Linked DNA regions of Stegostoma tigrinum. The protein of the gene in region 2 binds, or shares a complex with, the protein of the main gene of each other region. Links are inferred from orthologs where the notes say so. Each region holds a gene or a part of one and is shown on either strand. Other genes may lie near its edges. The genes, in order: gar1, nhp2, tert and wrap53.

Region 1 (8,017 bases), on a different chromosome or scaffold from region 2:
GCAGTGCAGGAGGCCCATGATGGACATGTCATCAAGAGAATGGGAGGGGGAGTGGAAATGGTTTGCGACTGGGAGGTGCAGTTGTTTGTTGCGAACTGAGCGGAGGTGTTCTGCAAAGCGGTCCCCAAGCCTCCGCTTGGTTTCCCCAATGTAGAGGAAGCCGCACCGGGTACAGTGGATGCAGTATACCACATTGGCAGATGTGCAGGTGAACCTCTGCTTAATGTGGAATGTCATCTTGGGGCCTGGGATGGGGGTGAGGGAGGAGGTGTGGGGACAAGTGTTGCATTTCCTGCGGTCGCAGGGGAAGGTGCCGGGTGTGGTGGGGTTGGAGGGCAGTGTGGAGCGAACAAGGGAGTCACGGAGAGAGTGGTCTCTCCGGAAAGCAGACAGGGGAGGGGATGGAAAAATGTCTTGGGTGGCGGGGTCGGATTGTAAATGGCGGAAGTGTCGGAGGATAATGCGTTGTATCCGGAGGTTGGTAGGGTGGTGTGTGAGAACGAGGGGGATCCTCTTGGGGCGGTTGTGGCGGGGGCGGGGTGTGAGGGATGTGTCGCGGGAGATGCGGGAGACGCGGTCAAGGGCGTTCTCAATCACCGTGGGGGGAAAGTTGCGGTCCTTAAAGAACTCAAGGCCCTCCGCTTCTTCCTGTCCCGCAGGCCCGACCAGGCCCCCTCCACCGACACTCTCATCCGCCTAGCGGAACTCGTCCTCACACTCAACAACTTCTCTTTTGACTCCTCCCACTTCCTACAGACTAAGGGGGTGGCCATGGGCACCCGCATGGGCCCCAGCTATGCCTGCCTCTTTGTAGGTTATGTGGAACAGTCCATCTTCCGCACCTACACAGGCCCCAAACCCCACCTCTTCCTCCGGTACATTGATGACTGTATCGGCGCCGCCTCTTGCTCCCCAGAGGAGCTCGAACAGTTCATCCACTTCACCAACACCTTCCACCCCAACCTTCAGTTCACCTGGGCCATCTCCAGCACATCCCTCACCTTCCTGGACCTCTCAGTCTCCATCTCAGGCAACCAGCTTGTAACTGATGTCCATTTCAAGCCCACCGACTCCCACAGCTACCTAGAATACACCTCCTCCCACCCACCCTCCTGCAAAAATTCCATCCCCTATTCCCAATTCCTCCGCCTCCGCCGCATCTGCTCCCACGATAAGACATTCCACTCCCGCACATCCCAGATGTCCAAGTTCTTTAAGGACCGCAACTTTCCCCCCACGGTGATTGAGAACGCCCTTGACCGCGTCTCCCGCATCTCCCGTGACACATCCCTCACACCCCGCCCCCGCCACAAGAGGATCCCCCTCTTTCTCACACACCACCCTACCAACCTCCGGATACAACGCATTATCCTCCGACACTTCCGCCATTTACAATCCGACCCCACCACCCAAGACATTTTTCCATCCCCTCCCCTGTCTGCTTTCCGGAGAGACCACTCTCTCCGTGACTCCCTTGTTCGCTCCACACTGCCCTCCAACCCCACCACACCCGGCACCTTCCCCTGCAACCGCAGGAAATGCTACACTTGTCCCCACACCTCCTCCCTCACCCCCATCCCAGGCCCCAAGATGACATTCCACATTAAGCAGAGGTTCACCTGCACATCTGCCAATGTGGTATACTGCATCCACTGTACCCGGTGCGGCTTCCTCTACATTGGGGAAACCAAGCGGAGGCTTGGGGACCGCTTTGCAGAACACCTCCGCTCAGTTCGCAACAAACAACTGCACCTCCCAGTCGCAAACCATTTCCACTCCCCCTCCCATTCTCTTGATGACATGTCCATCATGGGCCTCCTGCACTGCCACAATGATGCCACCCGAAGGTTGCAGGAACAGCAACTCATATTCCGCCTGGGAACCCTGCAGCCATATGGTATCAATGTGGACTTCACCAGTTTCAAAATCTCCCCTTCCCCCACTGCATCCCTAAACCAGCCCAGTTCATCCCCTCCCCCCACTGCACCACACAACCAGCCCAGCTCTTCCCCCCCCCCACCCACTGCATCCCAAAACCAGTCCAACCTGTCTCTGCCTCCCTAACCGGTTCTTCCTCTCACCCATCCCTTCCTCCCACCCCAAGCCGCACCCCCAGCTACCTACTAACCTCATCCCACCTCCTTGACCTGTCCGTCTTCCCTGGACTGACCTATCCCCTCCCTACCTCCCCACCTATACTCTCTCCACCTATCTTCTTTTCTCTCCATCTTCGGTCCGCCTCCCCCTCTCTCCCTATTTATTCCAGTTCCCTCCCCCCATCCCCCTCTCTGATGAAGGGTCTAGGCCCGAAACGTCAGCTTTTGTGCTCCTGAGATGCCGCTTGGCCTGCTGTGTTCATCCAGCCTCACATTTTATTATCTTGGAATCTCCAGCATCTGCAGTTCCCATTATCTCTGAAACATATGAAGCCATTGCCTTGAATTCAATTCTTTTGAATGTCACTATTGCAAAGCCTGCAGCGCAAAATTAAATGGCGGGGGGTGTGGGGTGAGCACAATGGAAATGTAGGAGCACATAGCTTGTCGTGAAAGCCAGTTTCTGGGTCGACCCTCTGAGCAGTCGCCATGCCTGTCACAGGAAGGAGCCCAAAGATCCGATGCACTCCCGGTGCAAGAGCCACTCCGTGCAACGTGGTCCCCCGGGCAGCGCGCGGCTCCACTCACTCACCGAACCCTGGCCCAGAGATAGAATGTTACCCGGAGCACGCGCTCCTTCTTCAGCCACGTGCACTCAATCCCGGCTGCAGGGAACAAAAAACACACACACAATCCTAAACTTAACCCGCTTTTTGAGTCCTGTAAGAACCTACTACTGCCTCTGTATTACAATTCCTTGAAATTATTTTACCTTTACAAACTTCAAGGACGCCTATGACATTTCAAACCCGGATCCGCCCTCGACATTGTTCCAGGGTTTTCAATGAGTGCATTACAGAGACCGGAACTTTACGTCAGTTTTGGGACGCTTCTTAACATCCGTGACCTGCCGTATTACAGTTACCGGTCTGCGTGCCCTCTTCGCAAGCGCACGGCGCGGTGGCGCACCCTCTAGCGAGAGAGTACGAGCATTGCACCAGCAGCGAAACAATTGGGAATTACAACTGGGCACCTTTGGTTTGGCAGTTCCTGGTGGCTCATGTCATATAGCTACGTTGAAGAGCCTCCCTCAAACTGCTGAGAAATTCTTTGCAGGGAAACTTTGAGCTGAATACTTGCAGAACATTACACGTATATGGGCGAGAACAAAGAATGTCAAATGTGCTCAGGATTGAATGTGCGAAACCAATGCACCCTTATCAGAGCAAGATGTTGAGTATCCCATTCCTGACCTCATGGAAATCTTCTCCGCTAGTTCTTTGCTAAGTTTCATAATGCTCACTTCTGGAGTTCGCTTCTTTTGACCCTGTATGGGCCAAAACCTAGTTTGGAGCTGCATGACCATGGCTGAGGCCAGGCTATCAGTGAGGAGGTTATTGGTGATGAGAGATAATAGGAACTGTTGATGCTGGAGAATCCAGGATAACAATGTGTAGAGCTGGATGAACACAGCAGACCAAGCAGCATCTCAGGAGCACAAAAGCTGACGTTTTGGGCCTAGACCCTTCTTCAGAAATGGGGAAGGGGAAGGGGATTCTGAAATAAATAGGGAGAGAGGGGGAGGCACACAGAAGATGGATAGGGGAACATAGAACATAGAAAAGTACAGCACAGTACAGGCCCTTCGGACCACGATGTTGTGCCTTGGAATAATCCTAATCCAAAAATAAAATAACCTAACCTACATTCCCCTCTATTCACTGCCGCCCATGTGCACATCCAGCAGTCGCTTAAATGTCACTAATGACTCCGCTTCCACAACTACCACTGGTAAACTATTCCATGCGCTCACAACCCTCTGGGTGAAGAACCTCCCTCTGACGTCTCCTCTATACCTCCCTCCAAACACCTTAAAACTATGACCCCTCGTGGCAGTCAGTCCTGCCCTGGGGAAAAGTCTCTGGCTATCGATTCTATCCATGCCTCTCATTACCTTGTACACCTTGGTCAGGTCACCTCTCTTCCTCCTTCTCTCCAGAGAGAAAAGTCCAAGCTCAGTCAACCCTCCTCGTAAGACAAGCCCTCCAGTCCAGGCAGCATCCTGGTAAACCTCCTTTGCACCCTCTCCAAAGCCTCCACATCTTTCCTATAATAGTGCGACCAGAACTGGACACAATATTCCATGTGTGGTCTCACCAGGGTTTTGTAGACTTGCAGCAAAACCTCACGGCTCTTAAACTCAATCCCTCTGTTAATGAAAGCCAAAACACCATATGCTTTCTTAACAACCTTATCCACTTGGGTGGCAACTTTGAGGGAGCTATGCACTTGAACACCAAGATCCTGCTGTTCCTCCACACTGCCGAGAATCCTGCCTTTAATCCTATATTCAGCATTTAAGGTCGACCTTCCAAAATGCATCACTTTGCATTTATCCAGGTTGAACTCTATCTGCCATTTCTCAGCCCATCTCTGCATACTGTCAATGAAGGAGAAGATAGGTGGAGAGGAGACAGACAAGTTAAAGGGGTGGGGATGGCGCCAGTAAAGATGAGTGTGGGTGGGGATGTAGGGAGGAGATAGGTCAGTCCGGGGAGGACGGACAGGTCAAGGGGGCGGGATGAGGTTAGTAGGTCAGAGATGGGGGTGGGGCTTGAGGTGGGAGGAGAGGATAGGTGGGAGGAAGGACAGGTCAGGGAGGCGGGGATGAATTTCGCTGGTTTTCAGATGTGGTAGGGGGAGGGGGAGATTTTGAAGCTGGTGAAGTTCACATTGATACCATTGGGCTGCAGGGTTCCCAAGCGGAATATGAGTTGCTGTTCCTGCAACCTTCGGGTGGCATCGTTATGGCACTGCAGGAGGCCCAGGATGGACATGTCATCTGAGGAATGGGAGGGGGAGTTGAAATGGTTCGCAACTGGGAGGTGCAGGTGTTTATTGCAAACCGAGCAATGTTCTGCAAAGCAGTCCCCAAGCCTCCACTTGGTTTTCCCAATGTAGAAGAAGCCACACCAGGTACAATGGATACAGTATACCACATTGGCAGATGTGCAGGTGAACCTTTGCTTGATGTGGAAAGTCATCTTGGGCCTGGGATGGGGGTGAGGGAGGAGGTGTGGGGGCAAGAGTAGCACTTCCTGCGGTTGCAGGGAGAAGTGCTGGGTGTGGTGGTGTTGGAGGGGAGTGTGGAGCGCACAAGGGAGTCGCGGAGACAGTGGTCCCTCCAGAAGGCAGACAAGGGTAGGGAGGACGAGGTAGGTGGTGGGGTCGGATTGCAGATGGTGGAAGTGTCGGCGGATGATGCATTGTATCCAGAGGTTGGTGGGGTGGTACGTGAGGACTAGAGGGATTCTGGTTTGATGGTTATTACGGGGACGGGGTGTGAGGAATGAGTTGTGGGAAAAGCAGGAGACACGGTCGAGGGCGTTCTCAACCACTGCGGGGTGGATGTTGTGGTCCTTGAAGAACAAGGACATCTGAGATGTACGGGAGTGGAATGCCTCATCCTGGGAGCAGATGCGGCAGAGGCGAAGGAATTGGGAATAGGGGGTGGAATGTTTGCAGGAGGGTGGGTGGGAGGAGGTGTATTCTAGGTTGCTGTGGGAGTCAGTGGGCTTGAAATGGACATCAGTTACAAGCTGGTTGCCTGAGATGGAGACTGAGAGGTCCAGGAAGGTGAGGGAGGTTTTAGAGATAGTCCAGGTGAACTTAAGGTTGGTGTGGAACGTGTTGGTGAAGTGGATGAACTGTTTGAGCTCCTCGTGGGAGCATGAGGCGGCACCGATACAGTCATCAATGTACCGGAGGAAGAAGTGGGGTTTAGAGCCAGCGTAGCTACAGAAGAGGTATTGTTCCATGTAACTTACAAAGAGGCAGGCAAAGCTTGGGCCCATGCGGAGGCCCATATCCACCCCTTTTTTCTGCAGGAAGTGGGAGGAGTGGAAAGAGAAGTTGTTGAGGGTGAGGATGAGTTCAGCCAGGCGGATGAGGGTGTTGGTGGAGGGGGACTGGTTGGGTCTGCGGGACAGGAAGAAGCGGAGGGCCTTTAGGCCATCTGCATGGGGAATGCAGATGTATAGGGACTGGACGTCCATGGTGAAAATGAGGTGTTAGGGACCGGGGAATTGGAAGTTCTGGGGGAGGTGGAGGATGTGGGTCGCATCACGGGCATAGGTGGGGAGTTCCTAGACCAAGGGGGAGAAAATGAAGTCCAGATAGGTGGAGATGAGTTCGGTGGAGCAGGAGCAGGCGGAGACAATGGGTCGACCAGGGCAGGCAGGTTTGTGGATTTTGGGAAGGAGATAGAAGCGGGCGGTGCGGGGCTGGGGAATGATGAGGTTGGAGGCTGTGGGTGGGAGATCACCTGAGGTGATGAAGTTGTGGATGGTTTGGGAGATGATGGTTTGGTTTTCGGGGGTGGGGTCATGATCCAGGGAGCGGTAGGAGGAGGTATCGGAAAGTTGGCGTCTGGCCTCATCGATGTAGAGGTCAGTGCGCCATACTACAACTGCACCTCCCTTATCTGCAGCTTTGATGGTGAGGTTGGGGTTGGAGCGGAGGGCTGCCTGTTCTGCGGGGGAGAGGTTGGAGTGGGTGAGAGGGGTGGAGAGGTTGAGGCGGTTAATGTCTCGACGGCAGTTAGAGATGAAGAGGTCGAGGGAGGGTAGTAGGCCTGGGGGTGTTGTCCGGGAGGAGGACTTGTGTTGGAGGCGGGAGAAGGGGTCAGTAGAGGGAGGGTTGGGCTCACGGTTAAAGAAATAAGCGTGGAGGCAAAGGCGGCGGAAAAACTGCTCAATATCCAGACGCGACAGGTATTCATTGATGTGTAGTTGTAGGGGGACAAAGGTGAGCCCCTTGCTTAGGACTGACCCTTCGACCTCAGTCAGAGGGAAGTCTGGGGGCATAGTGAAGATTCGGCAGGGCTCAGTGTGGCTGTCTTCTCTGGGGTTGCTGGCTGTGGAGGCTGTGGGCGGAGCGATGAGGTCGTCAGCTGTGGGCGGGGTTCCGTCGGCGTCAGCCGTGGGCGGGGTTCCGTCGGCATCGGCTGTGGGCGGGGTTGCGTCGGCATCGGCTGTGGGCGGGGTTGCGTCGGCGTCACTGGTGGGCGGAGTTGCACCGGCCTCGGCTGTAGGCGGAGCTCCATGAGCATCAGCAGTGGGCAGAGTTGTGTCGTCGTTAGTGGTGGGCGGAGTTGCGTCCACATCCGTCATGGATGGAGCGGCGTCGGCAATGGGCAGAGCCGGGTAGGTGGTGGCAGTAGCGGTGTCGGTAATGTCTGTGGTATTGGTTTCGGAAGTGGAGGCGGTGGCTACAGCAGCGATGGTGTTTGCTGTCCCGGAAGTGGTGTTCCCGGTGGTGGCGGATGTGACGTCATCAGTGGGTATTCCGACAGTGGCGTCGTGGCCAATGTCAGTGGGCACATTGTGGGGAAGGTCCGGGTAGGGCTGGGGATTTGGGAGGTGGAGGAATCCCATTTTAGGTGGCAGGGGCCAGTGAGTTTGCTGTGCTTACGGTTTTTAGTGGCTAATGAAGCTGAGTAGAATTGTGAGTTCAGGTTGTGGATCCTACGAAGAATAAAAAACAGGAGAGGTCCTTTGCAGGTCTGGGAGAGAGAGGCTCTGAGCTGGAGTAGGCTGGATTTCAGTGCCTGGAGATGCCGGCGTATGGCTGCGAGTGTCTGTTTCAGGACTCGCAGGGAGAAACGCTTCTGAAGGGTCTCAATGTTCTGAATGTAGATATTCTCACGGCTGGGGCAAAATTGGGAAGGCTTGAATGTGGACTGTAGTCCATTGGGGATGATCTGGTTCTGTAGGCAGGTGCTGAGGAAGGTGATGTGGCTGTAGTACCTGGTTTGCTTCAGGACGTGGTCGAGTAGTTTCAAGGCCGAAGAGATTACGAGAGAGTTGCAGTGGGAGAGAGATCCCCTGAGGTTTCTCCGGAGGGTAACTTCTTCAGGTCAG
Region 2 (7,740 bases):
CCCAGTAATATTAATGAATAAAATATTCACAGCAAAACAAATAACTGCAGATGCTTGAGATCTGAAATAAAAATTGTTGGAGAAACTCAGCAGGTCTATTAGCATGCAGAGTTAATGTTATGCATCCAGTAAGCGTTCGTCAGAACTGATTTACAGTGTTGAGTACTGGGAGAAGAGATGGAACTCAGTAATATTAATCCCATTGAATGCAAATGGGAACTGGTTAGATAATTCCACATTGCCATCTGGTTGCCAGCATTGTATCAATAATAGAACAGCTTGGCTACAGGCATGGCAATTTCAATAGGATAAACCTGCAGCACTACAATTAGGATGTCAGGGATAGTGGTGATATCGTTGAATTAAATCTAAATCACTGGACTGATAATTCAATCACCACAGGAGTTGGATCTTTTAAGTCTCTTAATAAATCTAAAGGATAAAATGACAAGCTGGTTTCAGTAATCATGATCATATAATGACTGACATTTATTAAATTCTTTCTGGCTGCCTACTGTCCCTCGAGGAAGGAAAACAATCCCCCTACCAGCCTCACTTACAGGCAACACATAGCAATGCATTTGACTCTCAATTGCTGTCTGAAATAGCTAAACAATTCACTCAATTGGATTAGTCCACTAAAACTTTATCACCTCCATAATTGGAATCTTTTGTTCACATCATACCGAGGTGTGAACCATACACTACTATTTAAAAAAACCCAAAAGAACTGAGGATGATGGAAATCAGAAAGAAACTGCTGGAAAATCTCAGCAGGTCTGGCAGCATGAGTGGAGAGAAATCCCAGTTAATGTTTCAGGTCCAATGACCCTTCTTAAGAATTGAGTATTGTCAGTTTTGTTTCTGTCACACAGCCAAACTGACAGCTCAGTTCTGAGGCCAACAGATTAGATGTACAAGCATCGACTAAACTGAATCCTCTCATTTTCTTCCTGGGGCTCGTGGGTGGTTGTCACTTGCTGCAATCCCAAAACAAAATATCTCAGGTAGCGAACTGAAATGGTGGATGAAAAATGACAAATTCACATCTGTTACTTTGTAGGACAATGTGTTAGTAGAGAGCTTGCATTCAAAGAATTACGAATTAAAAATGTATAACAATAATTCCTCTTTGTGCTGCATCAGAGAACAGATACATTATACTCACCCTTTCTCCCCCTTGTTGATGAATTTCTGAACTTCCTTTACTCCTCGGCGAATCTGTTTCACTTTTGCTGCTGCAGACAAAAATGGAAATTTACAATGAGATGTTGTGAAATATTTTGAAGTTTCCAAGCAATGTGTAACAACCATATTCTCCCCACCACTTACTTTGTCAAATACAAATCTTTATCTCAACAAAATCAGAAGCTGCTCCAGAAAAAAAACTGTACAACCAAATTAAAGAGATTATTAATAGAAAATAAAAGTTGGAAACATTCTGCAGATCAAGCAGCATCTGACAAGAAACAGAGGTAATGTTTCAGATCTATGAACTATTATCAGAACTGGAAAAAGTTGAAGACTTAATAGATTTTAAGCAAGCACCTCCAGGAAAAGAGAAAGCAGAGAAGAACAAAAGGGAAGGTCTGAGATTGGGATGGAATGGGGGGGGGGGGGCATTAAATAATAATGTAATATGCAAGGCAAAAGTGGCAGGAAGTATTTAATTCTTTCACAGAATGTGGGTGTCGCTAACCAGGTTAGCTTTTGTTGTCCATTCCTAATTTCCCTTGATGGAATGTTCTGCCATGTTATTGCAGAGGACAGTGAAGTGTCAACCACACAGTTATTGGTCTGGAATCACTGCACGTAAATATGGCAGACTCTCTTCCCTGAAGGACATTTCCGAACCAGATGGATTTTGAATAGGAGTTCTAGAGACACCAGTTGAGGTTAGCTTTTAAATCTAGCTTTATTCATAAAATTCCACCAGCTGCCACGGTGGGATCTGAATCCATGTTTCCAGAGCATTAGCCTCTAGCTAAAGTCCAATAACATTACCAAAATGCCACCACTTCCTCTAGATGTGACAAACAAAGGAACAAAAGATGAACCTGGAGAATGTGCATGTGGCAATAGCAAAACCTTGGCAAGAGTTGCATGCAGTAATTACATTCTGAAATCACTGAAGTCAATGTTAGGAAGTCTAGAACATAAGATGTTTTTTACTAAACTGTAGCCGTTTCAAACTATACCAAAACTGACTAGTGACAGGCGTTTGATTTAATGCAGAAATCAAGATCAGACGGGGAAGGGGGGGAAGAGATGGGGACGTGTGAGGGAAATAGAGACAAGGACAGGAAGAAGAGATAGACACAAAGAGGAAGATAAAGGAAAGTGTAGAGCTGTGAAAGCTTTCAGAGCCGAGTTACACCTGGATTTGGATTATCTGAAAGAGAGGAATGTGCACGGTGGGTATGGGGAAAGAGTGGCACTGGGCGCATTGCAGCCTCAAAGGACCAGCACAGACACTACTGGCCGAATTACCTTCACACGTAGTGCAACTACCCTGAGCTAACAGTCCTACGGCAGAGGCATGAAGAGTTTTGTTCATGGGCCTGGGGTCGATGATGCAGACCTTCCCCCACACCGCTTCCCCGCCAAATCTTTACCTTTCTTCACGCATTTGTACAGCTTCTTGCTCAGTTTCCTAGAGGCCAGCGGCTGCGCGATGTCGTTCACATTGGCCACCAACTCCTCGTAGGTTTTCTCCGTCTCCTCGTACTGAGGCCTGTCGGCCTTTTCCTTCTTCACTTTGGGGGACTTCATTCTCTCCCAGTCTCCGCTGCAGCGCCGTCACCACATGGCAACGGCAGCCCACTTCCGGGAAGTGACGTGAGGCTGAAGCCCGCCCCATTCCTGGCCGTCAGGCTGGGCTGCCATGGCAACGACAGATAACAAGGTGTAGAGTTGGGTGAACACAGCAGGCCCAGCAGCATCAGAGGCGCAGGAAGGCCGACGTTTCGGGCCTAGACCCTTCAGAAAAGGGCCGAAACGTCAGCTTTCCTGCTGCTAAGATGTTGCTTGGCCTGCTGTGTTCATCCAGCTCTACACCTTGTTATCTCAGAATCTGCAGGTCCTACGATCTCCTGGCAACGACAGCCCACTTCCGGACAGTGACGTCATACAGACCCCGCCCCTACTGGTCTGCCGATCAAACCGGCAACGGTCACCGTGGCAACGGGATACCTTAACGCTCTCAGGATGGAAATTAACCGAGTTTACAGAGGCCAGTTGTTTTCCTTAGAGCTGAGAAAATTGATTACGATGCATATTATTACTATGGACATAGGATAGGAAGAAACTTTGCCTTTGGTGGTGGGATTAATGACCAGGGACATCGATTTGAGGAACGGCGCAGGAGGTTTGGAGGAGATGTGAGGAAATGAAAACGAAGGGAAATCTGGAACTCACTGTCTGTAAGCGTGGAAACGGCTGACACCTTCATAATATTGAAAAAGAAGTTAGATGTGAACTTGCGAGGCCGGGGCATAAGTTGCTGTGGACCAAGAGCTGGAAAATGAGACTGGGATAGTTAGGGATAACACTGTGTGGAGCTGGAAGAGCACAGTAGGCCGGGCAGCATTAGAGCAGGAAAGTTGACGTTTTGGGTCGGAACCCTTCTTCAGAAATGAGAAGCGGGGAAAAGAGACAATAGACAATAGGTGCAGGAGTAGGCCATTCGGCCCATCGAGCCAGCACCACCATCATTATGATCATGGCTGATCATCTACAATCAGTATCCTGTTCCTGCCTTATCCCCATAACCCTTGATTCCAAATCGACACCTTCCCCCAAGCGCCACCCATAAACATTGACACTTTCCCCCAGGATACCCCCTGTAAACATTGACACTTTCCCCCAGGCTACCCCCTGTAAACACTGACACTTTCCCCCAGGCACTCACTTCTAAACAGCGACCCCTTCACCCATGCACCCACCTGTAAACTCTGACACTTACCCCATGCACCCCCTGTGAACACTAACACTTTACCCCAGGAGCCCACAGTAAACACTGACACACTCCCCCAGGCACCCCCTTCGAAACAGTATCCCCTTCCCCCAGGTCCCACCATGTAAACACTGATGCCTACCCCCAGGTCCACCCATGTAAACACTGACACCTACCAGAGCTGGGAAATAAAAAGCAATACTGCAGTCAGTGTGGAGCTGGGGGAACACAGCAGGCCAAGCAGCATCAGAGGAGCAAGTAAATAAGAGTAAAGAACAATACAGCACAGGAACAGGCCCTTCGGCCCTCCAAGCCTGTGCCACCACATTTTGCCTTTCCATGCTAAAACCGTCTTCACTTACAGAATCCGTATCCCTCTATTCCCTTCCTATTCATTTTTCATCCAGGTGCTGTTGTCTGCTTCCACCATCTCCTCTGGCAGCACGTTGCAGGCATTCACCACCTTTGTGGGAAAAACTTACCTCGCACATCTCTTTTAAGCTCCCCCCCTCCCACCTTGAATCTGTGCCCCCTAGTAATTGACCCCTGCATCCTTGAAAAAATGCCTCATATATGCCACTCTATCCATGCCATTCACAATCTTATAAACCTCTGTCATGTCACCCCTCAACCTCCTGCATTCCAGTGAAAACAAACGCAGCCTAGCCAACATTTGTTCACAGCCAAAATCCCCTACAGTAGGCAACATCCTGGTTAACCATTTCTGTATTCTTTCCAAAGCATCCACATCCTTCTGGCAGTATAGTGACCAGCACTGTGCGCAATATTCCAAGTGTGGCCTAACTAAAGTTCTATAAAGCTGCAGCATAACTTGTCTATCCTTATACTCAGTGACCCATTCAATGAAGGCAAGCATGCCATGAGCCTTTTTTAGTACCTTATGTACCTGAGCTGCCATCTTCAGTGATCTGTGGACTTGTACACCCAGAACACTCTGCATACCAATACTCCTCAGGATTCTGCCATTCGCTGTGTATTTTCCGCCTGTGCTTGACCCTCTAAAATGCATTACCTCACATTTGTCCAGATTAAACCCCATCTGCCATTTTTTTGCCCATGCCTCCAACTAATCTATATACTGCTGTATCCTCTGACAATCCTCCTCACTATCCACAAATCCATCAATCTTTGTACCATCCACAAACTTACTCGTTAGACTCGCTACATTTTCCTCCAAATCATTTATGTAGATAACAAGCGGACGTCCTAGCACTGATCCCCATGGAACATCACTAGTCACACCTTCCATTCTGAAAAACATCCTTCCACCACTGCCGTCTATCTCCAAGAACTAAGCCAGTTCTGTATCTGTCTTGAGAGCTCTCCCGTGATATCATGTGACTTCACCATTTGTACCAGTCCATCATGAGGGCCTTGTCAAAGGTTTTACTATAGTCCATGTAGACAACATCAATCCACTTTTTCCTCATCAATTACCTTTGTCACTTCCTCAAAAAACTCGGTCAGATTAGTGAGACATGATTTCTTGCATTCAAAACAATGCTGTCTATCGCTAATAAATCCACTCGCTTCTAAATGCTTCTAGATCTTGTCCCTAAGAATCTTTTCCAATAATTTCCCTATCACCAACATGAAAGTCACTGGCCTGTAATTTCCAAGAATATCCCTGCTACCTTTCCTAAACAATGGGACAACATTGGCTATTCAGCAGGGATAATAGGAACTGCAGATACTGGAAAATCCGAAATAACAAAGTATGGAGCTGGATGAACACAGCAGGCCAAGCAGCAACTTAGGAGCACAAAAGCTGACACTTCGGGCCTGGACCCTTCATCACCCCATCCCCCTTTTCTGATGAAGGGTCTAGGCCCAAAACGTCAGCCATTGGCTATTCTGCAGTCCTCTGGGACCTCACCTGTGGCCAAAGAGGATACAAAGATGTCTGTCAATGATCCAGTAAGTTGTTCTCTTGCCTTCCTCAATATTCTGAGATAGATCCCATTAAGACCCAGGGACCTATCTACCTTAATACATTTTAAGATGCACAACACCTTGTTCCTTTTTAACAGCAACTTGGCTTAGAAACTTGACACTCCCTTCCCTGAGAGAGATAATAGGAACTGCAGATGCTGGAGAATCTGAGATAACAAGGTGTGGAGCTGGATGAACACAGCAGGCCAAGCAGCATCATAGGAGCAGGAAAGCTGACGTTTCAGGCCTATCATCATTCACCAGTTTCTTCTCTTTGGTGAATACCGACACAAAGTATTCATTTAGGACTACACCTACCTCTTCTGACTCCACACACAGGTTCCCTCCTTCTTCCTTGAGTGGGTTAACCTTCCCCTGGCTACCCGCTTGCTTTATATATTTATTAAGCCTTGGGATCCTCCTTAATCCTGCTTACTGATGACATTTCATGACCCCTTTTAGCCCTTCTGATTCCTTGTTTAAGTTCTTTCCTTATATACTTCAAGGGCTTCATCAGTTCCATCCTCCTAGACTTTATGTATGACTCCTGTTTCTTTCTGACATTATAACATCCCTGGTCATCCAAGGTTCATGTAACTTGCAATACCTACCCTGCACTCTTACAGGACCGTGCTACTCCTGAACTCTTATCAACTACCGTTTGAAATACTCCCACGTGTCCAATGTGGATTTACCCTCAAACAGCTGCCTCCAATCAACATTCTCCAGTTCCTGCCTAATATTGTTGTAGATTGTCTTCCCCCAACTTAACACCTTCACCCAAGGACTGCTGTTATTGCTATTCACTTCTCTGCTATCTCTTAGAGTAGTTAGGTGCTTGTTTCTGATCAGTACAGACCCAATAGGCCAAAGGGTCTTTTCTATGCTATAAAGCTCTGTGGTTCTTTGGCATTCATGAGAAAGCTCTCTGTGAAAGTACTTTATGACATTGATTACAGGTTACATTTATTATGTGTTTTGAAAATGTTTTCATTAAAGAGTGCATTGTGGCTCTTTTTAACAATTCTCTAAGAGAGACAAGTGTTATGAAATGAGAATAGAATGTAGTTTTTTCAATAATGGCAGCTGGTGATGGAATGGAGTTCAGCAGGGGACTGTGTTGGGACCACAAATATTCATATTTTCCATCAACGATCTGAACGAAGGAACTGAGGGCATTATTACTAATTTTGCAGATGATACAAAGATTGGTGGAGGGACATGTAATAGAGTAGACTATTTTCTAAATGGGAAAGGCTTCAGAAATCTGGAGCACAAAAGGACTTGGGAGTCCAAGTTCAAAATTCTCTTGAGGTCAACATGCAGGTTCTGTTGGCCATTACGAAGGCAAATACAATGTTAGCATTCATTTCAAGAGATACAAGAGCAGAAATGTACTGCTGAGGGTCTAGTCAGACCACATTTGGAATATTGAGGTTTTGGGTACCATATCTAAGGATGTCTGTACTAACCTTGAGAGGAGGTCCAGAGGAGTTTTACAAGAATACTCCTGGGGATGAAGGACTTATCACACGAAGACTCTGGGTCAGTAATCAATGGAGTTTAGGATGAAGGGAACTCTGATTAAAAGTTACAGAATACTGAAAGGCCTGGATAGAGTGGACATGGAGAAGATGTTTCCACAAGTATGTTTTCCACAAGAGACTAGGACCTGAGAGCACAGACTGAGTGAAGGCATAACCCTGAGATGAGGAAGAATTTCTTCAGCCAGAGGGAAGCTAGTCTGTGGAAGCCAAGTGATTGAGTATATTTAAGAGAGAGATACATAGGTTCTTGATTGTAAAGGGCCAAGCGTTATGGGGAGAAGGCAG
Region 3 (7,046 bases), on a different chromosome or scaffold from region 2:
ACTCACTATCCTGACTTGGAAATATATTGCTGATCCTTCATGGATAATGGGTCAAAATCTTGGAACTCCCTAGTGACATTGTGGGTCTACCTACAGAACATGGACTCCAGCAGTTGAAAAAGGCAGCTCACCACCACCTTCTCAAGGGCAAGTGGGGATGGGCAATAAATGCTAGCCCCTGGGAAGTGTATTTTTATACATCTTTTGTGGAAAGGTTTTGCAATATTCAGTCCACATCTGAGCACTGTGTCAGCACAACTAATAATAAAGTATTTCTGATTCTTGACCAATAGAAAGACTGCTTGTGGCTTTTCTGCAACAACCCAACTTAGATCCTGATTTAAAAATTCTGCACTCGGGTCATTTTGTTTAGCCAGTCTCCCAGTTTTGGCTTCTGTTTGCTACTAGTGCTAGTTTCGCTGGTGTCTAAATGAACACTGTATCCCCATCACAGCCTCAGTGTATTCTTAAAACTACAGTATATTATTTTGAATAGTTGAAAGATTGAACACCCCAATAATATACACAAATTAAAGCTCTTCATCTTTAAACTAGTGTGCAATACAAATTAATGACATTCCTTATTAATGAGGTGAAATCTGAAACTTTCTTTCACTGCATATTTTGAAAATTTTTTTAACTTGAAAACCAATAAATCCTTGCAGACCTCTTAATATAATATATTAATATTAATGAAAGAAGGCCCTTTGTGACTATGTCTGAATTAATGTTGAGATCAACATGCTGTGGCATTTTTTTTCATTTGTATAGAATATGCATTTGAGAGGAATATTTTAAATATCAACTTTCGGAACCAGATTTATCTGCTTATCTAGGTATTCCATTTTGACAATGTGCATGCTAAAAAAATTTGGAAACATTAAAAAATAAACAATTTGGGACAGCAGGGAAGGATGTACACTGAGTTGGCATGTTAATAATTATGTTATCAAAATTACAGTTCTAGGCCAGGACATTGAACTGATACTAGGAAATTTACTGTTACACTTAATGGATCAGATTAAACAGAATCTGATGTTGCCATGGCCACCTGCAACTAAATTTGCTCATAACTCCTAGGTGGTAATCTATCACCAAAATTTTATTTCCAGAGGGAAAAATTTAAAAAGCAAGTAGTTCGTACAGATCCATTTCTGAATTGCATTCATAGCATAATGAACAGTTCTAGTCTTTTTGCTACAAAATAAGTATGACGTTACTGAGAAGCACATAAATGACTTACAAAAAGGATAACAGAATTTAGAGAATATATCAGGTTGAACATGATGGAGAAAAGAGGAGGCTGAGGAGAGATGGGCATTTAAAATTATAATAGGGATTCATGAGAGTAGTCTGAGAGATTCTATCTGCGAGGCAGACAAAAGTAGTGGCCATAAATGTTACTAATAAATCCATTAGGAAAGTCAAGAAAACTTTCTTCACCTGCAAAGAAAAATAATTTATTTTATAGAGTGTTCTGCCCAGCCACTGAGCACCTCAAAGCACTTTTATCACAAATTACATATTTTTGAAGTTTAGTCATCAATATGTGATATGCAGCAGCCAATTTGCACTCCCAGAAACTGGAAATGACCAGGTGATCTGTTTTTGCGATGTTGATTGAAGGATACATTTTGATTGGAACACTGAGCTAACTTTTTTCTTCAAAATTATGGCAAGCAATCATTTACTTCCACTAGAGCAGGCAGAGAGCCTCGGTTTAACATTTCATAAAAGGATGCAATCTTGCGTATGCAGCACTGCCCCAGTACTGCACTGGTGCGGCAGTCTGATTTTAATTGTGCTGAAAGGCTGGTGTGTAACCTAAATTTGGAACCATTGATTCAGATCAAGAGTGATACAAATGAGCTCCAACTCCCAGTAGTGAGTCATTAATGAAACCAAAGGGAAATTCAGGAGTGTGTTAATATCATGATCATGTTCTGACAGCATTAGACAGATGGGGAGCAGACAGCTTACTGGCACAACCTGTTGAACATTTATTAACTATTTATACTAATGTGCGGAGACATAACAGGTAAATAAATATATGAGAGTGATTAAGGGTAACTCGGTTAGTTTGATCCAAAATTGGCCTATTAGCAGGAGACAGGGTGGGGGTGGTAGAGGTAGGGACAAACCAGTGGCATACCACAGTGATCAGTGCTGGGTCCCTTATTATTTGTGATATATGAAGATGAAAATGTGGGGAAGGAGGGAGAGGATGATAAATGTGCAGATGCCACAAAGATTATTCAGTTAATTGTCAGCAAGGAAGATGGTCTTAGGTTCTGGGAGGATATAGACAGATCGGTAGAACAGTGGCAGATGGAATTTGACCCTGATAAATGTGAGGCGATGCACTTTGGAAGAAGGAATAAGATGAGGGAGTACTCCGAGACTGGCTAGATGCTAGGAAGCTCAGAGGAATCTTGAGCGTGTTTGTCTACAGATCCCTGAAAGTGGCAGGACGTATTAATGGGATTGTTAAGAAGGGATGTGGGACACTTACTGTATCAGTTGAGGCATGGAATATACGAACACAGAGTTTTGAGTTGGAGCTGTACAGAACTTTGATTTGGCCACTGCTGGAGTACTGTGTCAGCACACTATTGGATGGATATGTTTGCACTGGAGGGGTGCAGAGGAGATTCACCGGAACAGAGTCATAGAGGCTTACAGCATGGAAACAGACCATGTCCAACCAGTCCACACCCACCATGTTCCCAAAATAAACTCGTCCCACCTGCCTGGGCTAGGCCCATATCCCTTCAAACATTTCTCATTCATGTTCCTATCTAAATGTCTTTTAATCATTGTAACTGTACTCTCATCCACCACTTCCTCTGGAAGCTCATTCCACACGTGAACCACTCTGTGCAAAAAAGTCACCCCTCATGTCTTATTTAAATCTTTCTCCTCTCACTTTAAAAATATGTGCCCAAGTCTTGAAATCCCGCACCCTAGGGAAACACACCTGCCTTTCACCTTATCTATACCCCTCATGATTTTATAAACTTCTTTAGGGTTACCCCGTGATTTCCTATGCTCCGGTGAAAAATGTCCCAGTCTATCCAGCCTCTCCTTATAATTCAACCCCTCCATTCCCGGAAACATCCTGGTAAACCTTTTCTGTGCCCTCTGCAGCTTAGTAATATCCTTCTTATAACAGGGGGTCCAGAACTGGACACAATATTCCAGAAAACACCCCACCAATGTCCGACACAACCTCAAAATCATATCCCAGCTTCTGTACTCAAAAGTCTGAGCAATGAAGGCAAACATACTCAATGCCCTCTTAAGTTACATGTGATGCAAACTTCAAAGAATTATATTCCTGAACTCCTGGGTGTCTCAGTTGGACAGCACTACACTTTTAATTGTATAACTCCTGGCCTTGTTTGTTTGGTTGCCCGGGATGGAGTGCTTTAGCTGTGAGGAAAGGCTGGATAGGTTCATGGTGTTTACTTTCAAGAAGAAAAAAATTGAGGGAGGGGACAAGATAGAAGTGCATGAGGGTAAAAGGGCATGAACAGGCACCGAAACGTCAGCTTTTGTGCTCCTAAGATGCTGCTTGGCCTGCTGTGTTCATCCGGCTCCACACTTTGTTATCTCGAATAGAAAGCAGTTGTTCACTTTAGGTGAAGTGTCAGTAACAAGGTGGGGTGGGAGCGTGTGTAATTTTGAGTGAAGGCTGGAGGTTTTGAGGGGACTTTCAGGAGGAGAGACTAATCACCCAGAGCGTGATGGTAATGTGGGAGGTTAATTGAAGGGTGTAATCTCACGACCTTTTGGATGAGCATTTGAAACGTCATAACATCGAAGGCAATGGGACGAGTGTAGATTTCAGGTAGCGTTTGGCGGCAGAGACTGGATGGGCCAAGGGGGTCTCCCCTGCACTGTGCTAGTTTCTGGATCCAATGAGAGGATGGGTGGTGGGAGGAGATTGGATGCTGTGGGTCGGGCGGGAGGAAGTGCGAGCAGATTGTGATCGATGAGAAGGGGGTTGGTTGCTGAAGTCTCAGTGAGAAAGGGGTGGACAATGGAGGAGGCCAGGCTGTTCGGGCTGTTGGCCTCCGTCTATCCCTCCGTGCGCCGCCTGCAGCAGTTCGTTGCGGAGATCAGCGAAGCGGCAGGAGTCGCGCCGCCGGCTTTGCTGGAAAGCAGCGACAGCGGGCACTACCGGCGCTTCATCTCCCAGCTCATCGTGTGTGTTCCCGGGGAGGCAAAGGCTGTGTGCCGGCCGCTCACCTTTCAGCAGGTACGGGGCTAGGCAGACAGCTCCCGGCAGCACTAAAGCGCCCGGCACCTTCCGGAGCCGAAGTGCCGTTGCTTTATGTACAGGGGCACATTTGGGGAATAACAAGCCGGAGAGGCTCGGAACGGCGCAAAACCCCCCCGATCCCAGGCCATGTTTCTGCGCTAGGGCTTCCTGAAATTCAGCGCCGGATTTACGCAGCGCGCAATCTTAAGGGTAAAAAGGCATTTCGTATGCACCACGTTCACGTTTTTCTAACACCCTCCCCAAAAGTAAAAGTTGAGTCAAAGGGGGATTTGGCGCGATTAACGTTGACACTATTCCCCCCCATACCCCGTGTCTCTAGGCAGCATGCTGTGAAAACTCACTCAGTTTCCAGCTGTACTCCTCACCACCTCCCCCACTTCTCCACTCCCCCCCCCCCCCCCCCGCCAGGTTAGAGGTGGTCTCGGCTGTTCGGTCCAACCCAGGCTGAGCAGAAATCCCCACCACTTTAAACATTAAGTCAGCAAAAACCTTCCTTTAAAGTCTCCGTTGCAATCTCCATTCTGTATTCACCAACTACACTAAAAAAAAGCAAGGAAGTGCTGGAGAAACTCTGTCGGCCTGTCTTTCTCTCAGTCGCTGAAGTAGGAACGAAGTCACCAAAGCAAAATACTGTAGGTGCTGGAAATGTGAAACAGAAATTGCTGGAGAAACCCAGCCAGTCTGGCACCAGCTGTGGAGAGAGGGAGAGGAAGAACAGTTATTGTTGCAAGTCCAGTTTGACTCTCTGGAATTCAGCCCCACAGTAGCGTTTGACAAGGGACCACCTGCACTCGAAACATTAACCCTGTTTCTCTCTTTGTAGATGCTACCAGATCTGCTGAGTTTCCTTTCTGTTTCTGTAGCTTTACTCCTATCACAGCGACTGTGTGAGGCTATTGCAACCTTGGGTCTATATTTCACCCAAGATGAGCTTTCAGTATTTTTTCATATTCATTCGTGGGATATGGGTGTCGCTGGCTAGGCAGCATTTATTGCCCACGTTGCTGGGGGTCTGAAGTCACATATAGGCTAAACCAGGTAAGGATGGCCTTTTCCTTCCTTAAAGGATATTAGTGAACCAGAAGGGGTTTTTCCCAACAATCGACAATGGATTCATGATATCATTAGATTCTTAATTCCAGATATTCATTGAATTCAAATTCCAACATGTGCCATGGCAGGATTTGAACCCAGGTCCCCCAAATCATTATCTGGGTCTTGGGATTAATAGTCCAGTGATAGTACCACTATGCCTTGCCTCCTTCCCCCCCCCCATCCAGACGTCAGTAAAGCTGGTATTTCCACTTTGCCCATCCCTGCATCTGTCTCAGCTCCTCTTGCTGCCTCTTATCTATGCCATTGTTACACAACCTCCTGACGATTCCACTCCTGCTTCATCTCCCACATCACCTTCAGTGAACTTCAGGTGGTCCAAACCTCCACTGTATCTACTAACATATACCAAGTACCAGTCACACACTACACCTAAGCCATGTGACCTAAATTTGTTTGACATTTCAGGTCAGGACCCTTCTTCAGACCCGAAACATCAAACTTTCCTGCTCCTCTGATGCTGTTTTGTCTGCTGTGTTCATCCAGCTTCACACCATGTTATCTCAGATTCTCTCTCATTGGCAGTTCCTACTATCTCTGACCTAAATTTGTTTTTGATTAAACAATGCCAGCCTTCTGCAGGATGATTGACCAGGTGATGGTGGGGAGGACATGGCCTAGTGGTATTGTTACTGGACTGCTAGTCCAGAGACTCGGCTAATGTTCTGGAGACCTGGGTTTGAATCCTGCCATGACAGATGGTGGAACTTGAATTTGATTTCTAAAAAAAATAGGAATTAAGAGTCTGATGATGACCACGAAGCCATTGTCAATTGTAGGGAAAAACCCATCTGGTTCACTAACAACTTTTAGGGAAGGAAACTTGTCCTTACCTACATGTAACTCTTAGTTGCCCTCTGGACAATTGAGAATGGACAAATGCTGGTCTAGCCAGCAACACCCTCATCCTGTGGATGCATTTAAAGAAGGTGTGTCCTGCTTTTAACAGGTGGTGAGGTTACGCCAGAATTAGCTGGCAATCTCATTTCAGTTCACCACAATGAGAATTACTGCAACTCGGAGATGGCATTCAATATAGATTCAAGATGCCACAGATACATATGAACAAGGAACAGGAGGAATTGAGTTTAAGAGCCTTGATGTTATGCTGCAGCTCTATAAAGCTCTGGTTAGACTACACTTGGAATATTGTGTTCGGTTCTGGTCAGCTCATTATAGGAAAGATGTGGAAGCTTTAGAGAGGGTGCAGAGGAAATTTACCTGGAGGCTGCCTGGACTGGAGGGCAGGTCTTATGAGGAAAGGTTGAGAGAGCTAGGGCTTTTTCCATTGGAGTGAAGAAGGATGAGAGGTGACAGAGGTTTACAAGATGATGAGAGGCATAGATAGAGTGGATAGTCAGAGACTTTTTCCCAGGGCAGAAATGCCTATTACAAGTGGGCATAATTTTAAGTGATTGAAGGAAGGTATAGGGGAGATATCAGGGGCAGGTTCTTCACACAGAGTGGTGGGCGTGGGGAATGTGCTGCTGGTAATGGTAGTGGAGTCAAATACTTTAGAGACTTTTAAGTGACTCTTGGATAGGCACATGGAGGATAGTAAAATGTAGGGTATGCAGGATTGAATGATCTTAGAAGGATAATAGGTCAGCACAAAATCGTGGGCCGAAGGGCCTGTACTGTGCTGTAC
Region 4 (7,520 bases), on a different chromosome or scaffold from region 2:
CCTGTCTTGACAGCAGACATATTTATCCACTGCCAATCACCCAGTCTCAGTAATTCACACCTCCCTATTCAATCTCTTTGTCGCATGTTTTCTCTACTCAGTCTTTAAAAGAGCCATCAAGTTAATTGCCCTTCCCTCCTCTTTCTTGGCATGATCCTGCAACTTTTCCCTTTAAGCGGTCACTGAATTCTCTTTTCAAAGCTGCTACTGAATTTACTTCTACTGCCCTTTCAGGCAGTGTGTTTCAGATCACCATAGCTTGCTGCACTAAAGGTAAAAATTATCTGCGCTCTGTTTCCATTCACAATTATCTCTATTCGATGTCCTGTGATTTCGTGCATCGCAAACAATTTTTCTACCCACATCCATGATTTCAAACACCTCTATTCAATATCTCCTGAACCTTCCCCGTTCTCAGGAGAACGAGACCAGCTTGTTCAGTCTTTCCACATCACAAACATCTTCTCTAAGGCCTTGAAATTGCTCATAAAGCGTGGTGCCTAGAATCAGACTGAATTAATATGCTTCATAAGTTCTTTGCTTTCCCACTCTATTACACTATTTATGACTCATTGATCTGAAATGCTGCTCTTATTATAATGGAAAATGTTATTGCACAGCAGTTACTCCTTTGCTGGTATTACCAACTGGGCAACCTAGGAGCTTATCCTCCATTTACAAACGAAACAGAACTAAACAAAATGTTAACTTTTTAATAAGAATTATTAATTGTAACAACTTAATTTTTAAAAAAGGGTTACAATTCGTCTTTAGAATCAACTGGAGTTATATACAAATGTTTCGATCAGTACAGTATTTTTAAAAAATCAAAAATATATTGTACCCTTATCGGTCTGGAGAGTGCTGTAAAATATACAATATACATCCATATTTACACGTATTTTAACATATTTAATAGGCATCCCAATAATCCACCATCGGTTAAAATCCTGGACATTTGTGGGTATTGCAGGTTTAACTTTGCTGTAAGGATGCCATTGTGTCAGCTTGCAACTGAAAGGAGCTGACCTGGCCTTCACTGTCTGTGGGACGACAGTCTGGAGGAAGCCCAGTATGGCTTGGAGAACGTTTCTTTGGTCGAAGAAGGAATGTCACCTGACACCACAAACTGTGGGGCATGATTACACACCCAGTTCCTTGACTTTTGCAAATTTGAGCTTTGGTGGAGTCTTCCTCTTGGTTTTCATGGGATCATCAGTGTTCCTGATGGTTTTGTACAATTCGATTGCATGTGAAGTCACAAAAATCATCCAGAAAATGTGCGAAAGCAGACGTGTGATGAGCCCAAACCATTCCAACACACGCACACTGCTTGGGAACCAATTTTGATCAGGCAGTGACAAACTCAGGAGGCTAATCTGTAAAATCTCATATAAGAATATCCAAATGATGTAGCCTGCCACTCCCCAGAACACCTCCTTCCAGATAGATACGAAAAAGAGAATAATTGCGATCAGAGTGAGACAGACAAAGATAATTGATATGATGCTGTATATTTGAAGTCGGGAAATTTGATTCACGGAGCTAGGAATAACCTGAGGCCTCAAGTAACGAAAATGCCCCGCTTCAAAAATGAGCTGCATGATGGATACCATCAACATGAACAGTCCAGCCACAATACTTCCTTCTTTGGCGTTCAACCCACACAAATTTCCAGATTTCAGTTTTCTCAATCTGTTGCGCAAGCTACGAATGTTCAGCATTTCGTTTCTTGGTGCTGTACATCCTTCTGAAAGTTGAGGGGCTTCTTTTTTTCAGCAAATTGGATCGTGAGGCAAGATAAACAGTTCACTGAAACAAATTTTACAACAAACATTGGTACAGTTGATTCCTCTTTCCTAATTTCTCCAGATCTAGAACAAGTCCAATCTGGTGCAAACTCTGTAAAACTCCTCCTTTTAAATACTCCCTATAGGACAATGACATGTAGCTACCCCAAACTGACTCAATTTGCTATAAATAGTTGTTTACAATATTAGGATTCAACAAAGTTTGAACAGGCAGGCAATGGGCCTTCCACAATCAGCCACTTGGGCCATTGGTGGAACTTGGGGAGTAGGGGGCTCTTCTCCTTCCTCGAGACGATTGAGATGCGTTAGGAGAAACCTCTTTACCCAGTGAGTGGGGAAGATATGGAACTTGATCCCACAAAAGGGGAGTTCAGCCAAATAGGAAGTCAGAGGAGTACATGAAGGAGAACACAATAGAAGGGCATGTCTGTAGGATAAGACAAAAGAGGCCGTAATGGAGGATAAATCAGCAACACAAACCAATTGTGTTGAATGGGCTGGTTTGCCTTCTAATTATTCCTGAACTGAGGGGAAGCAATATTTAGGAGGAACAAACGTGATATAGCTTTCAGCTATGAAATGTGTCCTTTCAGAGACTTTTTTTTCCTGTTTTGCATACAGCCTACAGTGGCACAATGTATGTCTGCAACTCAATGCTTTAATAGTCAGACAATTCACAAACTGAAAAAAAATTGTGAAGGTCCAGCAAATCTAAAAAAAAAATTCTATCTCCCAAACTATGAATACTGAAGATATATCTGAAAGCTAATATTCCAGACATCCTCAGATGAATAAATAGAAACATAAATCCACAGATCCCACATTTTTCACAGGCCCAGTACACTAAAAGCAAGTTTCCAAACTCCTCCAAAAATCCTATCATCCTCCAAACTATTAATAACCCTGACATGATTTAAATTATGAAATCCAGATATCCTTGTAACTACTGTTGGACCAGACGTATCAAAAATATAATTCCATGCATCCTCCAAACTGTGAAGAGTCCAGGTATTCTCAAAATTCTTTCAAAACAATTATTCATTCTTGCACAACTCTGAAATTTGTATATAGACCAAAATTCTCTTAAATTTATAAGATCTCCAAAATTGATGAGAATCCAGATATCCCTCAAACTTGCAAAGATTCAAGTAGGATATAACAAGAACTGCAGATGCTGGAGTCAAAGTCAATACAGCGTGGAGCTGGAGGAACACAGCAGCTCAGGCAGCATCAGAGGAGGAGGAAAGTCAACATTCTGGATCATCAGGATTGATGAAGGGTCCTGAACCGAAACGTCAACTTTCCTGCTCCTCTGATGCTGCCTGACCTTCTGTGTTCCTCCAGCTCCACACTGTAAAAATTCAAATATCCCTCCCGTGACATCCCTCTGTGCCTGTAGCTAATTCAGGGCACAAGTCAGAAGTCCAAAGGAACACTCTCCAATTATCTGAAAAAGATGCAGCTCCAACAACCCTCAAAACTTCACACCATCCAGGTCAAATCAATCAATTTGATTAGCAACGCTCATAACACCTGTGTCAAACCATCATTATCCAACTACCATTGGTTCACCTGTGCCCAAACTACATTGGTCCATGTGTCCAAATTACCATTAGTCTACTTGTACCCAAGTCATCATTGGTCAAAATACCATTGGTCCACCTACGCACAAAGCATTTATTGGTCCATCTGTGACCCAAAGCCATTATTAATCTACCTGTTTCAAAAGCATCATTGGTCCAACTACCATTGGTCCACCCATGCCCTCAAATCATCACTGGTCCACTTATACCCCTAAACCACCATTGCCCATCTGTGCACCCAAACCCACTATTGGTCCAAATGGCATCAGTCCACAAATGCTCAACCACCATTGGCTGACCTGCACCCAAACCACCACTGGTTTACCTGTCCCAAAAGCACTATTGGTCCTTCTGTCCGCAACCACCATTGGTCCACCTGTACCCCCCAAACTACCACTGGCTCACACTTCCCAAAAGCACTATTTGTCTGACCAGTTGTGGTTACCTGAGCTCAAACACCATTGGTCTACCGGTCTCTAAAGCCCCATTAGTCTAACTTGCATTGGTCATTTTGCGCTCAACCATCAGTGGTCCACCTGTATCCCCAATTCACCATTGGCCCCTCTGTACCCCATATCCACCATTTGTCCATGTTTGTCCACAAGCCCCCAGCGGTCTATTTGTATCCCCAGACTGCTATTGGTTCATCTGCATCCCCAAAACATCATTGGTCCATTTGTATCCAAAACACCATTGGTACACCTGTATTCCAACAGCTATCGTTGGTCCACCCAAAGCACTATTGGCCCAACCACCATTTATCCACGTCCCCCATTTCCCCCTGTACCTGACCCACAATCGGTTCACCAGTTCCCCGGACCATCATCGGTCCGATGGTATCCAAGCCTCTCAGCGTACCAATTGCCGCCGGCCGCAAGACTCGCCGTTTATTTTTGGCCTCTTGAGCTCTTTGGGGCCTAGCGCCATTTTCAGTACTCACGTTCCCCCCCACCGGTTCGGTTGCCATGGCAGCGGCCCCGCCCCCGCCTCAGTGACGTGTTTTGAATTTCCCGCGCCGCTGCCCAACGGCCCCCATCCCACCGCGTCTGCTCGCACGTGATCTGGCCGCGCAGCCAACCGCCATCTCCCGGAGGACGGGCTGGTTGGTCGCCACTACGCCTGCGTGGCAGCCCTGATGCGGCTCAGAAACTGCTGGAGAGACTCAGCAGCGTCTGTGGATAGAGAGGGGGAAAAAAAACCCAGAATTAACGTTTCAGGTCCAGTGGCTTTTTCTTCAAAACTCATTGTAGCTTGGAAAGGGTTGATATATATGTTAGAGAAGGAGATCGGAGTGGAGGGACTGGGTCGTGATCAGCCTGGGAGGATCTATAGCTGCTAATGGGGACAATTAATGGCTGACAGTGGGATAGTTTGTGGTAGTAGGCTGTGTGATGACAAGGCCTGGTGTGGTTTCGGGTTAGGGGAAGGTGCAAGATGCTCAGGTCTTAAGGGCAGAACCTTTAAGAGTACTACTAGGCAGTGGGATCTGGGTGTATAGGTATACAGGTCACTGAAAGTGGCAACGTGGGTGGAAAAGGTAGTCAGCAAAGCACGCTTGCCTTCTCTAGCTGGGGCATTGAGTTTAAAAATTTGCCGGTAGTGGTGCAGCTTTATAGAACCTTAAGTTTGGCTGCTTTTGGAACGTTGTTGCTTGGCCTGCTGTGTTCATCCAGCTTCACACTCTGTTATTTTGGAATATTGCGTTCAGTTTTGGTTGCCACACTAACAGAAGGATGTGGTGACTTTGGAGAAGCTACAGAAAGATTTACCAGCATGTTGCCTGGCATGGTGGGCCTGAGCTATGAGAAGAGGTTGGAGAAACTTGGGTCTTTTGCACTGGAATGTCGGTGGTTGAGGGGAAACCTGATAGAAGTCTAGGCCTGAAATGTCAGCCTTTGTTCCCCTGAGATGCTGCTTGGCCTGCTGTATTCATCCAGCTTCACACTTTGTTATCTTGGATTCTCCAGCATCTGCACTTCCCATTATCTCTAGAGGTCTACAAGATTGTGAAGGGCATGGACAGACTGGACAGTCATAAGCCATTTCCCAAGGTGGATGAGTCAGTTACCTGGGGCCAGGGGTTGAAGGTGCGAGGGGCAAGGTTTAAAGGTGATTTACGAGGCATTTTTTTTTACAGTGTGCCTGGAACTCTGCTGGGGGTGATAGTGAAAGAAGAAACTATAGTGACTCTTAAAGGGTGTCTTTACAAATATATGAATAGGATAGAGGGATAAGGTCTCTGGAAGGATAGGGGGTTTTAGTTGTGACGGGCAGCATGTCGGTGCAGACTTGGAGGGCCGAAGGACCTGTTCCTGTACTGTAATTTTCTTTGTTCTAAAATTATTGAACTTGATTTGAATGTTGGAGTAGGCATGTCTTGCTGCAGTTATATAGGACCTAAGTGAGGCCACACCTTGAGAATTATGAGCAGTTTTGGTCTGATGAAGGATGCTTTTGCTGTTGAGGAAGTCCGGCGAAGGTTCACCAGACTGATTCTCGGAATGGAGGCATTAATGAATGAAGAAAGACTGGATTGACAGGGCTTGCACTTGCTGGAATTTAGAAGAATGAAGGTTGGGGGAGGAGGTGTTCCCAAAGAAACACAAAATTGTGATGGAATTCGACAGGCTGGATGCAGGAAGAATGTTCGTGATGTTGAAGTCCAGAACTAGGGGGTCACAGCCTAAGAATAAAGGCAGAAATCGCACAACACCAGGTTATAGTTCAACAGGTTTATTTGAAGTCACAAGCTTTCAGAGTCCACCCCCTTCGCCAGATGAAGACGACAGGAAGTTTAGGGTCATTTGTTGCAGACAGACTCGAGCTATGTGCCCATGGATCCAATATTTTCCTTGTAGAAGGTTAACAGTTAGCACTTTATTTTAGGTGATCCCAGCCTCTTTCCCTCTACATAAACCTTGCCATAAACTCTCATTTTTTTTTGGTTAAAATTCAATTTTGTCTTTTGTGCTGCAATGTAAGGTAGTCACTAGGAAATCCAATGGGGAACTTGGGAGAAACATTTTTACCCAGAGAGTGGTAAAACTATGCAACTCTGTCCCAAAGGGAGTAAATTTTGCAAGTCTGGTAGTATTAGTGGGGAGAGAAACAGTTAATGTCTTGAGTCCTGTGACTTTTCTTTGAAATATGTTATGTATTTTATGGGTTATTGGACTTCTTTGAGAGTGACCATAAAATAGTAGGGTAATTAGTTTGTAATTTGGTCCATCAAGCCTGCTCTGCCATACATTAAAGTTTTGATTTGACTTTATCCCTTGTCCCCTTTTCCCTCCCCATCCCCAAATAACCTGAATTCCAATTGTGAAGTCAAAGACCATAGAAACAGACCCTTCAGTCCAACCAGTCTGTGCAGACTATAATCCCAAACTAAACTAGTCCCACCTGCCTGCCTTGGTCTATATCCTTCCAAACCCTTTCTTTTTAATGTACTAATCGAAATGTCTTTTGAATGATGTAACTGTACCTGCATCAACCACTTCCTCTGAAATTCATTCCACATATGAGCCACACTGTATATATTTTTTTAATAAAGCTGCCTTTTGCATCCTTTTAAATATTTCCCCTGTTGCCTTCAACATATGAAATCTCCCAAAATAGGGAAAAGACACCTGCAATTCACCTTAACTATACCCCTCAAGATGTGTAGAAAACGTTATGATCATGTGCCTTCATTATTTCACCAAAACATACCTCTGAACCTGCAAAGAGACATTAGTTAAGGCTTTGAGGTTTCACATTCCACAATAGAAACAGCACATCAAACAAATAATCCCTTAAAAGGAAATAAAAACAGATCTTGTTGGAAAAGCTGAGCAAGTCTGGCAGAATGGATGGAGAGAAATCAGAGTTAGTGTTTCAGCTCCTTAGACCCTTCCTCAGAACATAAAAAGGCCTGGGATGGATGTGAGGAGACTTGTACTTTCTGAATTGAATCTGGGGATGCAGAGTTTGCATCCATGACCACAGAGGGTGCTGTGATTTGGCTGCTCAGGCATCCATATAACTAGACCCCAACAGAGTTCAGTTAAATTGGCAAGAAAACTCCATACAATGCAACATAAAACACTCATTTTGAAACAATTGCAGCCTTGCATCCAGGTCTGAG

The links.
Region 1: nhp2 (region 2) and gar1 share a complex: the UniProt entries of both Homo sapiens proteins name them as parts of the H/ACA small nucleolar ribonucleoprotein (H/ACA snoRNP) complex. The link is inferred for Stegostoma tigrinum from reciprocal best matches to the Homo sapiens genes NHP2 and GAR1.
Region 3: nhp2 (region 2) and tert share a complex: the UniProt entries of both Homo sapiens proteins name them as parts of the telomerase holoenzyme complex. The link is inferred for Stegostoma tigrinum from reciprocal best matches to the Homo sapiens genes NHP2 and TERT.
Region 4: nhp2 (region 2) and wrap53 share a complex: the UniProt entries of both Homo sapiens proteins name them as parts of the telomerase holoenzyme complex. The link is inferred for Stegostoma tigrinum from reciprocal best matches to the Homo sapiens genes NHP2 and WRAP53.

The regions. Positions count from the first base shown.
Region 1 is NC_081354.1:61,441,190-61,449,206, reverse strand, and holds the start of gar1 (H/ACA ribonucleoprotein complex subunit 1), read right to left. Parts: upstream 3,019-8,017; 5' UTR 2,869-3,018; intron 2,762-2,868; 5' UTR 2,689-2,761; intron 1-2,688. UniProt on the Homo sapiens protein: Required for ribosome biogenesis and telomere maintenance. Part of the H/ACA small nucleolar ribonucleoprotein (H/ACA snoRNP) complex, which catalyzes pseudouridylation of rRNA.
Region 2 is NC_081376.1:48,796,246-48,803,985, forward strand, and holds the start of nhp2 (H/ACA ribonucleoprotein complex subunit 2-like protein), read right to left. Parts: upstream 3,001-7,740; 5' UTR 2,773-3,000; coding exon 2,616-2,772; intron 1,239-2,615; coding exon 1,169-1,238; intron 1-1,168. UniProt on the Homo sapiens protein: Required for ribosome biogenesis and telomere maintenance. Part of the H/ACA small nucleolar ribonucleoprotein (H/ACA snoRNP) complex, which catalyzes pseudouridylation of rRNA.
Region 3 is NC_081355.1:13,889,967-13,897,012, reverse strand, and holds the start of tert (telomerase reverse transcriptase), read left to right. Parts: upstream 1-4,031; 5' UTR 4,032-4,042; coding exon 4,043-4,261; intron 4,262-7,046. UniProt on the Homo sapiens protein: Telomerase is a ribonucleoprotein enzyme essential for the replication of chromosome termini in most eukaryotes. Active in progenitor and cancer cells. Inactive, or very low activity, in normal somatic cells.
Region 4 is NC_081398.1:3,819,503-3,827,022, reverse strand, and holds the start of wrap53 (telomerase Cajal body protein 1), read left to right. Parts: upstream 1-4,504; 5' UTR 4,505-4,611; intron 4,612-5,040; exon of another isoform or gene 5,041-7,520. Other genes in the region: transmembrane protein 217-like, read right to left, coding at 1,143-1,724. UniProt on the Homo sapiens protein: RNA chaperone that plays a key role in telomere maintenance and RNA localization to Cajal bodies. Specifically recognizes and binds the Cajal body box (CAB box) present in both small Cajal body RNAs (scaRNAs) and telomerase RNA template component (TERC).